2 linked regions of the Pelodiscus sinensis genome follow. The protein of the gene in region 2 interacts with the protein of the main gene of each other region in a pairwise test. Links are inferred from orthologs where the notes say so. Each region holds a gene or a part of one and is shown on either strand. Other genes may lie near its edges.

Region 1 (7,594 bases), on a different chromosome or scaffold from region 2:
ATTTTATTATTTGGATGGATAATATTGCTGCTTGCTTTTAAACATTTTCCCCAGTTTTTATCTAATTAAATGTTCACTGTTATAGGAATGTAACCCTTCTGTCGGGTAGGGCCGGGTTCAATATATAGGGGTCCATCCCACACAGAACCAGCTCGAGCCCCACCCAGTAGCCTAGGAAATTCACACACCCCTGGGCGTCTTTGAGAGGCAATGCTTCCCCACTCGCAAGCACAGAGTCTGAGGCTACGTCCAGACTGGCATGATTTTCCGCAAATGCTTTTAACAGAAAAATTTTCCGTTAAAAGCATTTGCAGAAAAGAGCGTCTAGATTGGCACGGATGCTTTTCCGCAAAAGCATTTTTTGCGGAAAAGTGTCCGTGCCAATCTAGATGCACTTTTGCGCAAAAAAGCCCCGATTGCCATTTTCAGAATCGGAGCTTTTTTGCGCAAAACAAATCTGAGCTGTCTACTCTGGCCCTTTTGCACAAAAAGACTTTTGCCCGAACGGGAGCAGCATAGTATTTCTGCAAGAAGCACTGATTTCTTACATGAGATCATCAGTGTTCTTGTGGAAATTCAAGTGGTCAGTGTAGACAGCTGGCTGCTTTTGCGGAAAAACTTGCCAGTCTAGGTACAGCCTGAGTGTAGAAAAGAAACTTTTAATGAAAGAGAGAGAAAAGTCACATGGCATTAACTTGGGAAAATACCACAAACAGAGTTCATAACCCCCCACGAGTAACCATCCCATCTCCAAGGGATTGAGCAATGTCCTTTGCCCTCAGGCTCACCAGTCATTGGCTGTGTCTAGACTGCATCCCTTTTTCGTAAAAGGGATGCAAATTAGACATATCGCAATTGCAAATGAAGCGGGGATTTAAATCCCCCCTGCTTCATTAGCATAAAAATGGCTGCCGCTTTTTCCCGGCTCGGAGCTTTGCCGGAAAAAAGCGCCAGTCTAGATGCGGATCTTTCGGGAAATAAAGCCTTTTCTGAAAGATCCCTTATCCCTCTTAAAATAAGGAATAAGGGATCTTTCAGAAAAGGCTTTATTTTCCAAAAGATCCGCATCTAGACTGGCACTTTTTTCCGGCAAAGCTCCGAGCCGGAAAAAAGCGGCAGCCATTTTTATGCTAATGAAGCGAGGGGGATTTAAATCCCCCCTTCATTTGCAATTGCGATATGTCTAATTTGCATCCCTTTTATGGAAAAGGGATGCAGTCTAGACACAGCCCATCAGTGTAAGGGTCCCATTCACTTACCCAAACTTTCTCCCTACCCCACTTCAAATGCCCTACTTACAGCTCTGTCCAGTCAGTGCGGACTCTGACACATCACCCTGATGACTCCACTCATTGAGCCTGAGGCCATGCCACCTTTGAGCTGCTCCTGTGGTCCGCTTGTGCCGCCTGCCACCAGGCCTACCGGCCACCCACTGGTCACTCCCGCCGGCAGCCCAGCTGGCTGCTGCTCCTACCAACCGCCCCACTGGCCGCCCGCCATTCCCGCCAACTACCCATTCCCACCAGCCGCTCCTACTGGCCATCCGCCAGTCATTCCCACTAGCCACCCCGCTGGCCTCCCGTTCCCGCCAGCTGCTCTGCTGGCCACCCTCTGGTCATTCCCGCCAGCCGTTCCACTGGCTGCAGTGGGTCTGGCTGTAGGCCAAACCAGTGACTTCAGCTCTTAGTCTATGTCTACACTCATGGCTTCTTGCGCAAGATCATCTTGGCTGTGTCTAGACTGGCAAATTTTTCCAGAAAAACTTGCCAGCTGTCTACACTGGCTGCTTGAATTTCCACAAGAACACTGACAATCTCATGTAAGAAATCAGTGCTTCTTGCAGAAATACTATGCTGCTCCCGTTCAGGCAAAAGTCCTTTTGTACAAAGCTTTTGTGCAAAAGAGCCAGTGTAGACAGCTCAGATTTGTTTTGTGCAAAAAAGCCCCAATCGCAAAAATGGCAATCGGGTCTTTTTTGCAGAAAAGTGCATCTAGATTGGCCACAGATGCTTTTGCACAAAAATGCTTTTGCAGAAAAGCACCTGTGCCCATCTAGATGCTCTTTTCCACAAATGCTTTTAACGGAAAACTTTTCCATTAAAAGTATTTGCAAAAAATCATGCCAGTCTAGACATAGCCAGGGGAAAGAGGCAGGTTGAACCAGTCTTACAATTCACAACTGGCAGGCATGAGCAGGCTGGCTCAAGCTCCCCCCCCCCCCCCCCCCCCACTCAACTCTGGAAGGGGGAGGCTTGTTCATCTGAGACCCCTTGCAGTGATGGTGGGTCTCCTGTAAGCACTGGTGTCATATTTTACAGTTCCCACATTTAGGGGTAGCATGATTTGTGACCCCCACAACAGCCCAAATTAGTTACAATACATCACATTCCATTCCAACAACTGATCCTCCATCAGCCTTGGCTGAATTGGATTTACATAACCACACCTCAGATTCCTTCCCCATCCTGGCATGAGCTGTATTCACATATCAACAGTTAACAGTTAATTATCTTGCAGAGCTAAACAATTTGGCTACATCTATACTGCAGGCTTCTTGTGCAAGAACTGTTTTGCGGAAGAGTTCTTGTGCAAAAGGTCTTTCACAAGAGTGCGTCCACACTGCCATGTGCTTTTGCACAAGAGCGTCCATGGCAGTGTGGATGCTCTCTTGCGCAAGAAAGCTCTGATGGCCATTTTAGCCATAGGGGTTTCTTGCGCAAGAAATTAATGTTGCCTGTCTACACTGCCTTCTTGTGGAAGAGATTTCGCGCAAGAAGGCTTATTCCTCATGGGGAGAAATAACTCTTCCAGAAGAAGCCCTGTTTTCCGAAACTGTACTGTAAATTTACTTGCACAAGAATGCACATGCAGTGTAGACGGTCTGTAAGTTTTTGTGCAAGAACATCTGTTCTTGCACAAAAAGCCAGCAGTGTAGACATAGCCTTTGAGTGAGCACACCCACCCCCAGGGCAGCTCTCTCCTTTTAGCTGGCTGATAGCAAGGAGTAGTTTAGCCCTTGCTTACAGGAAACAATAATTATTTAAGGACAATAGATGTTGAGAGTCAAAAAGTTAAAGCTTTATAATCATGAGAGCACAAATTGTCAACATCCCATGTAAGTATCCTTACATCAAACTAAATTCTTGAGTAGCTTTTTTTGTACTTTGCCTGGCTGTAGGTTTTGATTATTATTCATAGACATCTTTTTTGTCCTTGTGGATACTGTGAAATCAACATTTACCAATAAAAAATTGAATCCCTGCAAGCTTAACTAGGCAGGAGTCAGACTAGATTGGGGTGGGCAATAGGTGGCCCACAGGCTGGACGTGGTTCGTCAGGCTTAGCCCCTGGCGGCCACCAGACACTTCATTCACCAGCTCATGCACAAGTATGGCCACTTGCAGCTCCCGTTGGTGGGGTTCACCATTTCCAGTCAATGGGAGCTGCTAGAAGCTCGGAAGGCTAAACCACCATTACCCACAGCTCCCATTGGCTGGGAACAGCAAACCTCAGCCAATGGGAGCTGCAAGCAACCGTACCTATGGACATGAGGGAAATAAATAAAACATCTGGCAGCTTGCCAGGGGCTAACCCGGGTGAACCACATCCGGCCCAAAGGCTGCTTATTCACCCCTGGATTAGATTATCACAGTGGTCCTGCCTAGCCTTAGTGATGACATATATTTGAAGCCAGGCTTTCATTTGGGAACATGTTCAGCCGTGTTGCCAACTCTTGCAATTTTATCACACAGCTTGCTTTCATGAGATTTCCTTGATTGCTTTTGAAAGCCCCAGCAGCTGTAGTAATGAGCACACACAAGACTCTTGGCTTTAATTTTTGTAAGAAAGTTTATAGGTCCTCATGGCTGTAAAGTTTGAGAATGAGACCCAAGTACATCCGAAAGGCTCACAAGCCAGAAGGCAAATGAAAATGTATTTTTTTTAAAATAATCTCAAGATTTTTAGACCCTCCGTTGTGATTTTGGAAGATGATAGGCAACAATAGAATTTGTAGAACCAGATAACGGTTAGACGATGGGATTGTGTAGAACCAGATAACGGCAGGAGCATGTGTAGGAAGCTGGAGAAATGTTGTAGCATGCTCTTTTAAGGGGCAGAGAGAGCTCTTGCAGTGAAGCCGGGCCCTTTTATCCCTGTCATGCTGAATGTGAGGTCTGTCTGGCATTGCACCATAAACCCCACATCACTCCATATTTCCTTGCCATGGGCAAACTCGGGAGCAGGCGGCTTGTTGCCTGGCTTTTCTGTATACCACAGAGGAGGTGGCTAAATGCCCTGGGAAAGCAGTCTCTAGGCGTAGCCAATGCACCGAAACCCCGAGAGCCTCTAATGCTGAGGCACCTTCTCGCTAGAGGGTCTGGTTAGGACACAGCTCCACCCGGAACCCTTCTCGTCAGGGCTTTGCGTGTAGACGGGCTTCTTTAGTGGCCGCGCACGAGCCCAGTGGGCGGGATTAGATCGTGAGGGGCGGCAGCGAGAGCCAATAGAGAATAAGGATTTTCGGCGTCCTCTTGTTTCCGACCAATGGGAGGGTGAGGGGGTGGCTCCAGGAAGTGCCCGTTGCGCTGCGGCGGAGGGGAAGAATTAGCGGGACGGCCCGAGCTGGGCACAGACCGGGGGCAAAATGTCGGAGAGGAAGGTTTTGAATGTGAGTAGGGGGCGGGCGGCGGCCTGGCCTGGAGACGCGGGGAGGGGCCCCATAGTGGGGGAGGGGGCTGGGGGGGGAGGGAAGAGGGGAAGACCCGTTGGGGGACGTAATGGGGGGGAGGGGACAGTGGAAGGGCCAGGGGGTCCGTATTGGGGGGAGGGGCATGGGGGTCCTGTAGTGGGGGAGGGGAAAACCGGGGAGGCCATAGTGGGGGAGACATGGGGGGGTCCTGTAGTGGGGGAGGGGAAAGCCGGGGAGGCCGTAGTGGGGGAGACATGGGGGGGTCCTGTAGTGGGGGAGGGGAAAACCGGGGTGGCTGTAGTGGGGGAGACATAGGGGGTCCTGTAGTGGGGGAGGGGGCAGCTACATCTGTGCTTCTGGGAGGCCTTTATAAGTTTTGTGCGTGGGAGGCAATGGGCAGATTCCTAATGTGAGCGCGACATTGGCCCTGCTCTGATTCTCTGTGGATCCCAAAGTGCAGGAGCAAAGTCCTCTCATGTCACCCTCCCCATGTTAGGCTTTGTTCCCTCCCAGCTGATGCCTGTCTGCTTTGTTCTTGTAGAAATACTACCCGCCAGACTTCGATCCATCTAAAATCCCAAAGCTCAAGCTCCCAAAGGATCGTCAATATGTTGTGCGGTTGATGGCTCCATTCAACATGAGGTGAGAGGGCCTACGGGAACTGCGTTCTGTCACAAGAGTTTGGCGTGTTACCTAGCATATCCCTGCCGTGGTTTCTTACTATGTTTCCATCGAGCTGACCTGACTATATGTTGGAGTGGAGAGTGAATCCAGCTACTTGCAGAATGTACTGACCGGATTTTGTTAATAAGGAATGCTTTTGAGGCTTTAGTTGATTTCCTTTGAGCAACTTCCTGTGTGCACCAGAATATTTACAATTTACTCCTTTTGTGGGGCAGACCAACCTTGTATAGCTGTAAACTAAATAGCCGAATATCCTCTAGAGTGGCATAATTTAGACACCCCAACGGCTATATGTGCATACATAGCCAGATGCTTAAATAGTAAGGCTGAGCAAATGTTCAGCTGCTGCACTTGTAAGGGTCTTTCAAGCAGGCTTGAAGGCAGCGTGACCAGACTCAAGTCCAGCCAGCCATTTGCTTGTGATTGATGCATCTGCCTCTTCAGATTCAGCTTCCATGTTGCTATAAAACACCTCACCAAAAACAGGTGGATAGAAAAGAATGGGGTAGTGGATAAAACACTGCATCATGACTCAGGAGATCTGAGTTCAATTCCTGCCTTGCCTCCTTCTGTCAGCTTGGGCAAGTTACCCAATCGGTCGTTTGCCTCAGTCCTTTGTTTTTTTAATTCATAGCAGTTCATATCTGTCCACTAATAATCTCTCTCTGAATAAAAAAGTTGTTCCTGCCAGATGGCAGAATGACATCATCAGCATCAACAGGCTCTCTCAGTGAAGTGAAAGTGGCCAGAAGGGTGGGGAGGGGGAAGTAGGTCATATAAGTACCTAAATATCCAGAGTGTGCAGGTGAGCACCCCACCCCCCAACTATTATGTGAGAGGGAGGGAAGTGTCAATCAACAGAAGTAACACTGATCAAAAATTAAATGGAAAAATTAGCTATGTATCTAATGTCTTTCTGTTTTGGTCATCTTAAAGGTTATGTATAACAAGAATAGGTACAAAATGATCAAGTGGGAATGTGATTCTCAATTTGACACTGCCTACGAAAATTGGGCTTAGCTCCTTTGTATGTCAGACTCTTGTCTTTCTCTAGTTTCAGGGGGCTAACCATGTTCATTTGTTTCAGCAAACACAACAGGTCCTGTGGAACTGTAAATACTTAACACATTTATTTACTAACAAAGCTATTTGGGCATAAGCTTTTGTGGGCTGAAACCCACTTTGTCAGATGCACTGAAGTTTCCTGCCCACAAAAGCATGTGCCCAAATAAATTTGTTAGTCTTTAAGGTATCACTGGACTCCTTGTTGTTTTTTCTCTAGTTTTCTTTTATATGTTGTCAACGTAATTCACTTTCCGTTTGCTTCACGTAGGTGCAAGACATGTGGCGAGTACATCTATAAAGGCAAGAAATTTAATGCTCGCAAGGAGACGGTTCAGAATGAAGTGTACTTGGGGCTTCCCATCTTTCGCTTCTACATCAAGTGCACCCGCTGCCTGGCAGAAATCACATTCAAGGTGGAGATTTTGAATGTTCTGTATCAGCTGGACTCTCTGTGGAGGCAGCATGGTCTAGAGATTGAGGCACTGTGTGTCAGGAGACTTCAGTCCTAGGCCTAGATGGCACCCAACAAATACTGCTGTTTTAAGATAATCATAGGTCAAATTTGATCTTTGTTCCCTTTACAACAAACAGTGAAGTGTCCCATTCATAGTTTGAATAGTGCACTATTATTGGTCAAATGATGAGTGTTTCTAGGGCTTAATTATTATTTTGGCAGGAGCAGGGATGTGACTAAAACAAGGTTGAAATGCTTTGTGTAGCTTCATGTGTTGCTTTGAAAGTCACCCTGGCCATTTATAACCAGCCCAGAATACATTAAGAATGACTGGAGCAATAGCAGCCTGTCTTGCATGTGGCACACTTGCAATAATTCCCTTATGCTGCTCATGTCTTCCTCAGACGGATCCTGAGAACACAGACTATACCATGGAGCATGGCGCCACTCGGAACTTCCAAGCAGAGAAGCTGTTGGAGGAAGAGGAGAAGAGGGTGCAGAAGGAGAGAGAGGAGGAAGAGCTGAACAATCCCATGAAGGTATTTGAATGTGCCCTTTCCCCCATGGTGAATGGGCAACTTAGATTAGCAAGTCACAGGCCACTTGTTTTTCGGTGCATGGTAGGAAGCTACTGCCCCGGTTCTGCAGCAACCGTTTGGAACTGGCAAAACAGAAATGGTAACTGAGGTCTCTGCTTTTGC
Region 2 (7,871 bases):
CAGTGTAAAGAGGCAGCACTGACTATATGGAAAAAGCACTGGGCAGAGGATGCTTTTTTTAAATGTGATCTAGAAATGAAAGCAGAAAAGCTAGAAGGGAAATTTACAGCTATTATTTTATTGGAGACATATATATGAAACATAGCTTCAAATCAGCAGTGGTGGAGAATCTGCTTCTTCAGGGAGAATCCTGTCACTAAAATGCACACTCTTGCAATTTGGAGAGAATATTCCACTGAGTATGAAAAGCTCTAGAAACAGAATCGTACCAAACATATTTTAGTGTAATGTTTATTAAGGTCTTATGTTTGCAAGCATGCTTATTTACAAAAGAAGAACTACTTGCAAAAGAGTTAATCTAAAACACAGTAAAATCTCTTTATTTGGAAATGGATGTGCCAAATAGGCTGTTTTAGCTTTTATTTAAAATAAAAGTTAAAATTAAAAATGAACAGAAAACAACTGTTGGTAGTTTGCTGTACAATTACCATAGCTTCTAATGTAACAACTCCCCAAAAGGGCAGATATCTATGCTTAAAACTTTCACGTGGCTACATAAACTAATCATTTATGTCAAGGCATGGCCCATTATTATTTGATGAGTGACAAGTCTGAAAATCTAGCATAGATTCCGTTTGCTGGCATTACAATCATTTTTATTAGAAGAATTATTACTAAGAAAGGGCCTGCAGATGAAGAATTAATCATAGGTATATTTATTCCCATAAAAAGGCAACACTAGTTCAGACCAAAGGTCCATCTGGCCCAGCGTACTGTCTATTGACAATGGCCAATACCAGGTGCTTCAGAGAGAATGAACAAAACCTGACAATTATCAACTTATCTAGCCTGTCATCCATGTCCAGCTTCTGGCAGTTGGAGATTCAGGAATATGTAGAGCATGGGACTGAATCCCTGGCCATTTAGGCTAATAAGCACTGATGGGCCTGTCCTCCATGAACATATGTAATTCCTTTTTTAACCCTGTTACAGCTTTGGCCTTTATAACATAGCCTGGAAACAAGTTCCACAGGTTGACAGTGCATTGTGTGAAGAATTATTTCCTTGTGTTTGTTTTAAACTTGTGGCCTTGTTTCATCTGGTGACCCCTGGTTTTTGTGTTGCATGGAAAGAGTGAGCAACACTCGTTTCTTGCTTTCTCCACACCATTCATGTCACCCCTCAGTCATCTCTTTTCTAAGATGAACAGTCCCCAGTCCATATCAAGATCTCTTTCTATGGAAGCTATTTCAATATCTCAATCATTTTTGTTGTCCTTCTCTATACCTTCACCATTTCTAACAAATATCTTTTAGAAGGGGCAACCAGAACTCCACACCATATTCAAGATATTAGTGTACCACAGATTCAGTTGGTGTCATTACAATATTTTCTGTAACATTTTTCCCCCGTTACTGGCTGCTACTGCACACTGACTGAATGTTTTCATAAAGCTATTTACAATGACTTCAAGATCTCTTTCTTTCAGTAGTAACAGCTAATTTAAATGCCATCATTTTGTGTATCTCACTGAGATGATTTTTTCCAATGTGCTTTACTTTCCATTTACTAACAGTGAATTTCAGCTGCAATTTCACAGAGATAAGGTGGGTGAGGTAATATCTTTTATTGAACCAACTTCTGATGATGAGAGATACAAGCTTTCAAAATACACAAAGTTGCATATAAATCTGCCATCTTATCACTCAGGTTAGTAAAATCCTTTGGTAACTCTTTGCAGTCAGCTTTGAAATGTTTGCATCATCTGCAAATTTTGTCACCTCACTTCTCATCTCCTTTTTTCCAATACATTAACGAATATGATGACAGAACAGGTTCAAATACATATCTTTGGAAGGCCCCACTATTTATCTCTCTCTCTACTGCGCTAACAATTAATATTCCTACCCCTTTGTTTCCTATTTTTAACCACGTTCTGATCCATGAGATGTCCTTCCCTCTCATCCTATGGACTACTTAGTTTGTTAGTATTTGTAAAAACCCAGGTACTCTATATAACTGTATGGCCTTTGTCCACATGCTTGTACATAGCTAATAATTGGGGAAAGTTCTAATAGATGACAAATCATTCCTTATAATTTAGGAAAGCCCTGTTGATTCCTAATCAATATACCCAGTTCACCTGTGTGTCTGATCAACTTTACTCTGATTTCAACTGATTTGCCTGGTACATAAGTTAGCCTTCCTGCTCTCTAATTACCAGGATCATCACAAAAAAATTGTTTTAATCAACAATATATTGGCTAGCCTCCAATCATCTGGTAGAGACTGATTTAACAGGTTACATCTTACAAATAATAGTTCTGCAATTTCATACCCAGTTCCTTCAGGACTGTTGGGTGAATACCATCTCCTCCCATAACTTATTGCTTGTTTAATTTATCAATTTGTTCCAAACCACCTATCCCATACCAACACCTTAATTCTCAAAGTGCTCTTGAAAACTAAATAATTCTAAAAAAAAAATCACCTACTATTGTTAATTTGCATATTGATCAAAACAAGTAGTCACTGCTGCAATAATGAACTGGAAAGCTAGAACTGCTTTCCTTACTGAAAGGCTTCCTCATTTGGGAGGCTTATTTTAAGGCCATGCTTAAAGTCTGTTTTTCAGGTAAATAAGCATTTTTGTTACTTGTATTCTTTAAATCTCGGACTCTCTATTTTTCAGATCCTCCTGGTTCAAATATATGTTCCCACTCCTAGCTCCCCAGCATGCTGAGACAGCAGTGCTAAGAGGTAGTCATGTCTCTTAAACCCGCCCAGTTTTTCCGATCCACACAACACAGGGCTCATTTATCGCCAGCCTTAGCAATACCGGTGCCGAGGGCTCGCAGCGCCGCCGCTGAAGCTGCTCGTACTGAGAGGTCCGGAGGCATCAGACACGAACAAAGACTGAGGAGAGAGGTGGAGAAGCCGGGAAGGAACAAGTATCACACTTAACTCCTGCCCCCAGCTGCGCTGCTGTCGCCGGACTAACCCCTTTTTGCGATTATGGCACCTTTTGCACAGCAGGCAAAAATCCCATTTTACGTACACCTCCCCGTCTGTCTCCATTTGAAACTGACCAGATCTCCCCCGCCTACCCTCCTCCTGTGCTCCTCCCCTCCCACCAGATGCACCAATCCGCTCAGCCTCAGCTGCAAATCAAACTTGATGCCCTCAGCTCAGCTCCCAAATCCATATCATTTCTACGGCCAAGCAACCCTCCCCATCTCCACCCCCCGCTCTCCATGTTGCAATGTCTGGGGAGGGTGAGATGGGGGACGGTTTAGACTAGGATTGAATAGCAGCAGCACTAAGACTTGAGGTTGCTTTCTGTCGGTCTCTCCTCCCACTCCCAGACAGTTCTGGAAACTGTGTATCACCTCTTGTCATAGGAAACCATCCAGCAGGCGGTGCAAACAAACACACATCTCCTACCACCACCCTCGTCAAAATAATAAAATCCGCGCCATAAACTGCTAATGAATGCTGGCGCTAATGAACACTGGCAAGAAAAAAATCAAGACCCGAAGCCTGACAATCTGCAAAATCTGAGCATGTAACGAGCAGAGTCCAGGGATACGAGTGCAGCAGGGCGGCTTTGTCTAATTTCAGCAACTGGAATAATCGCCTGCGCTGCACTCTTGCCTTCTCCTCTGGGGACGCCAAGGATAGCCCGTTAGAGCGAAATGATGCGGTTATTTGAAAAGACCATAACCTAGTCCCATTTTCCTTGTAAAGACCTTGGTAAAGGAAGAGGGGGGGATATTAAGAGCCAAAGTCTCCCTTACACCTGTGCAATCCCTCAGACATTTTGCACCACCCCCTGGTTTCATTCGTATATCATCATAAGTGCATGTCAGCATCATTTAGGAGATTTAAGAACTTCATCCGTAAACCCTATTGCCACTCATTGTATTGATTATCCATCACCGTAGTACTTGGGAAATTAATGTGCCACCCCAATGATTTAATCCGACAGTGCCCATAATAGGACCTACGTTACTCAATTGCCAGCTCCTCACAGCGCAAGTGGGCACTGCTGTCTCGGTGCGATTGCACGGGGTAGTTGTGGGCAGAATTTAGCCCTCGGTCTCTTAAGGAACAAAACATGGCTCGCAGAAGTTCCTCTCGAGCACCCGCACGTGTTTGCTTGGGCCGTGGAACCCCGCACGGATCTCAACTCGCCGGCCCCCAGCGGGAGGGGGCTGGGGAGCATCGCTTTGGATGGGGAGGTTCCTAAGCCTCCCGGCCGGTTCTTGTTGCCTCCGTGCACCTGCTTCCTTCTGCCCCTTCCCGTCCCCCCTCCCACACCCAGCCCGGAGGCGCCCGATGAAGCAAACCCCGCCTCCCTCCCGCGGGGGGGGGGGGGGGGACAATCTCCGCAGCCAGTGAGACCGTTCCGAAGGGATTCGAATCTGGGGTCAACATTCCACATTCCGGCCCTGGCCCGCATTCATCGCTCTCGCCAGCGGCACAGAAGCTGCTGCCACCCAGCAGAGCCCGAGCAGCCAAACAACCGCCCCCTCCTCCCTCAGACACACACAACACACCCCTTCCCTCCGTACACTCACACTCTCCCAACACGTGCACTTCAGGGCTGTTACAACTTGCTCTCCAGCAGGAGCTACTGTACACTCGGACTCAGTTGAAAATAAACGGCTCTACTATAGCAGTGTACTAAAAGCCTCCCCCTCCACACATGTCCATTAGTGCCTAAAATCACAATCGCGTCTAGTTCAGGACTAACCGGCCAACACTCTCCTACCCCAATAGGAAACTTCTGCCTATTTTCTCCGGTGAACGGTTTTTATACTTTGCGAGCATTTTTTTTTTAACTACAGCAAGTGAAATCCAAACACAATTTGCATGAATGTAATTGCAAAGCTGCCTGCACATAACACACACCCTTACTGCCCTTGAATTGATGCAACGGATATTTTGGACATGTGGGCGACACGGTGACAGATTCTGACTACGACCACCCCTCCCCCTTTCTATAGCGTCTATATCTAAAAGGACCTGCGCTTTGCAATTGCCATCTGTCTACCAACTTGATCCAACGCTTTTTACTTTTAAACTAGGCTGACCCAGCATTGATTAATTCAGATACCCGCGTCCCCACTCTCTTTTTTAAAAAACTACAGCAAAGTCAAATACATATACAAATTTTAAAAACCCTCAGTGCAGTATTGTGTTGATTTAGCTGGTGCACCTTGAAAGCTGCAAGAGCCTTATTTGCCATTGCAAAGTCTGCAGCAAAATGAAAACCAGCTAGCAGAACACTCCTTACATCACATCGTTTCTCAAAGCTGCAAAATAATCATCTATTTCCTCCTCCCACCGCTCCCTCCCTCCCCAGCAATGCACAAGTTGCTTGTGGGATAGTGAAGCTGCAACTCAACTGCCTCCCCTCGCTCCATATCAAGAAGCAAATCTTTTGGCGCCATATTAATGACGTACTATATTATTTCCACTAGGCAGCGACCTTCGGCATTAAATTGCTCTCTAGCTGCTTCTGGAGAACTCCAAAGCAAAGCAACAAAAACCCATCAAATATGGCTGTGCTGGCTGTTCCCCCGGCTCACTCTGCGGCGGCGGCGTGGAGGAGAGTCAGAATCTGGACACAGTTACCTGCTCCTGCTGCCGCGATGGTTGCCAGTGAGGTTGGAGTTTCTCTGCGCGAAGGGGTCTGTGCTGCCTCATGAGTTCAGACAAGCACTGGAGAGTGGGAGCAGATTGTGGCTCCCTTCACACACACACACACACACACACACACACACACACACACACATACAGACTGACTGACGTTTTTACTTGTTATGGAGGAAGGACTCTGTGAATCAAACTCATTTCTGGGTCACTGCTGCCACAGGGGGGAGCTACTTTAATCCCCTGCCAAAACTAGAAGGAGAGAGAGCGAACAGAAAGGAAAAAAACAGGGTGGGGAAGAGAAGAGGATAGACTACAACACTTAGGAACTGTCTGATTTAACTCTTCACAGCCCTCACTGGAGAAGTCGTGCTCCGTTTACAAATGCAGGGAGGTGCCTTCATTTCTGAATGGATTTTACTGAAGTATCTCTTTCTTGTGAGGAAGAATATTTTGCTTTGAGACATTTCCAGTCTAACTCACCCCCTCGCTTGAAGTCTTACTCATTCAATATTGTCACTCACTGCTTGAGAGCAGCCCTGTATTCCACTCTTACTGCCAACCACGAATATTCAAGTTCCTTGTTTTTCAAATAGTGTGCATATGTATCTTCAGCTAGTGTGCATGCACACTATTAGAAGATTTGTTTCTAGGGAATTATTTGTGCATGTTTGCACTAGGTATTGTTACTGTCTCAAAATATTTCAGAAATATTAATTTATTAATGCCTTATGCCATCCCTCTAAGGTAGGTATGGCCAGAGCTCTATTTTTTAAAGACGGGAATCCGAGTCTCAGAGCAGTTAAATAACTTGCCCACATTCATACATGAATAATGGTCAAGCCCAAGATTTAGAATGGATTTCTGATATTCAGTCTCCCATCTAACTCTTCTGCTTCCCAAACTTTTCCAAAGGAGATTGGGGGAAACAGGGCCAAAATGTTCTGAAGTTCTTTTTAAATCAAATTTAGTTCTTTTTAAATACAAGTTCAGAATAAGTGTATTATAAATAAAAGTATTTACCAAAGATTTCATTATGAAAAGGGGCATTTAAATGCAGACTAATTTTTAGTTTAAAATGCTTTTTCGTCAATCCATTAATTCATTTTCCATGAGAAAACAGTGGAGACTCTTACACAGAACAGAGTTCTATGTATAAACAGGAAAGAATAACGATATAGAGAACAGGTATTGTAATTTCAAATACAGAAAAAAAAGCTGTGTGTAAAATACAGGCAGCCCCCGGGTTACATGGATCCGACTTACATCGGATCCCTACTTACAAACGGGGTGAGGCAACCCCACACTAGCTGCTTCCCCCCAGCAGACCAGGGAGACGCGAAGCTAGCACCCCCCCCCACCACCACCACCACCAGACCAGGGAGTCGCGGAGTGGCTTTTCTCAGCAGATACCTCAGCTTGAGAATAAAGGACTGAGGGAAGTGAGGTGTGGGAGAATAAAACTGAGCTCTGGAGAAATGTTTGGCTAGAGTTTCCCCTACAATATGTACGAGTTCCGACTTACATACAAATTCAACTTAAGAACAAACCTACAGTCCCTATCTTGTACGTAACCCGGGGACTGCCTGTAATTCCAAAGACAGGAAATACATAATTACAAATTAATGCAGTTCCCCAGGGCAATAAATACTTTTACCTGGTGTGCCAGAAAGTCATACCTTAATTCAACAGAGGAATTGCTCTGCTATTCATCAACAAAATAATTTATCCAAACACACCATAAACATCTACTCACTCAGCCACCTGCAGAACTGGAGTCATAGGCTACGTCTACACTGCATGCTTATTTCAAAATAAGCTATTTCAGCAAGGAAAAATCCTCTGAAAAAGTTTATTTTGAAATAGCATGTCCACACTACAGATGCCCATCAAAATAGTGCTGTTTCAAAATAGAACGTCTATACTGATTGGAATAGTGATAGAAATGTAGCCGTGTTAGTCTGGGGTAGTTGAAGCAAAATGCAGGACAATGTAGCACTTTAAAGACTAACAAGATGGTTTATTAGATGATGAGCTTTCGTGGGCCAGACCCACTTCCTCAGATCAAATAGTGGAACTACCCCAGACTAACACGGCTACATGTTCTGACTACTTTCTTCCACTATTTGATCTGAGGAAGTGGGTCTGGCCCACGAAAGCTCATCATCTAATAAACCATCTTGTTAGTCTTTAAAGTGCTACATTATACTGAT

The links.
Region 1: the proteins of JADE1 (region 2) and YJU2 interact in a two-hybrid assay, tested with the Homo sapiens proteins (2 studies listed by BioGRID and IntAct). The two-hybrid records come from large-scale screens. The link is inferred for Pelodiscus sinensis from reciprocal best matches to the Homo sapiens genes JADE1 and YJU2.

What each region holds. Positions count from the first base shown.
Region 1 is NC_134729.1:22,304,647-22,312,240, forward strand, and holds the start of YJU2 (splicing factor YJU2), read left to right. Parts: upstream 1-4,546; 5' UTR 4,547-4,645; coding exon 4,646-4,669; intron 4,670-5,231; coding exon 5,232-5,332; intron 5,333-6,707; coding exon 6,708-6,852; intron 6,853-7,297; coding exon 7,298-7,432; intron 7,433-7,594.
Region 2 is NC_134715.1:50,833,988-50,841,858, forward strand, and holds the start of JADE1 (protein Jade-1), read right to left. Parts: upstream 3,101-7,871; 5' UTR 2,901-3,100; coding exon 2,840-2,900; intron 1-2,839.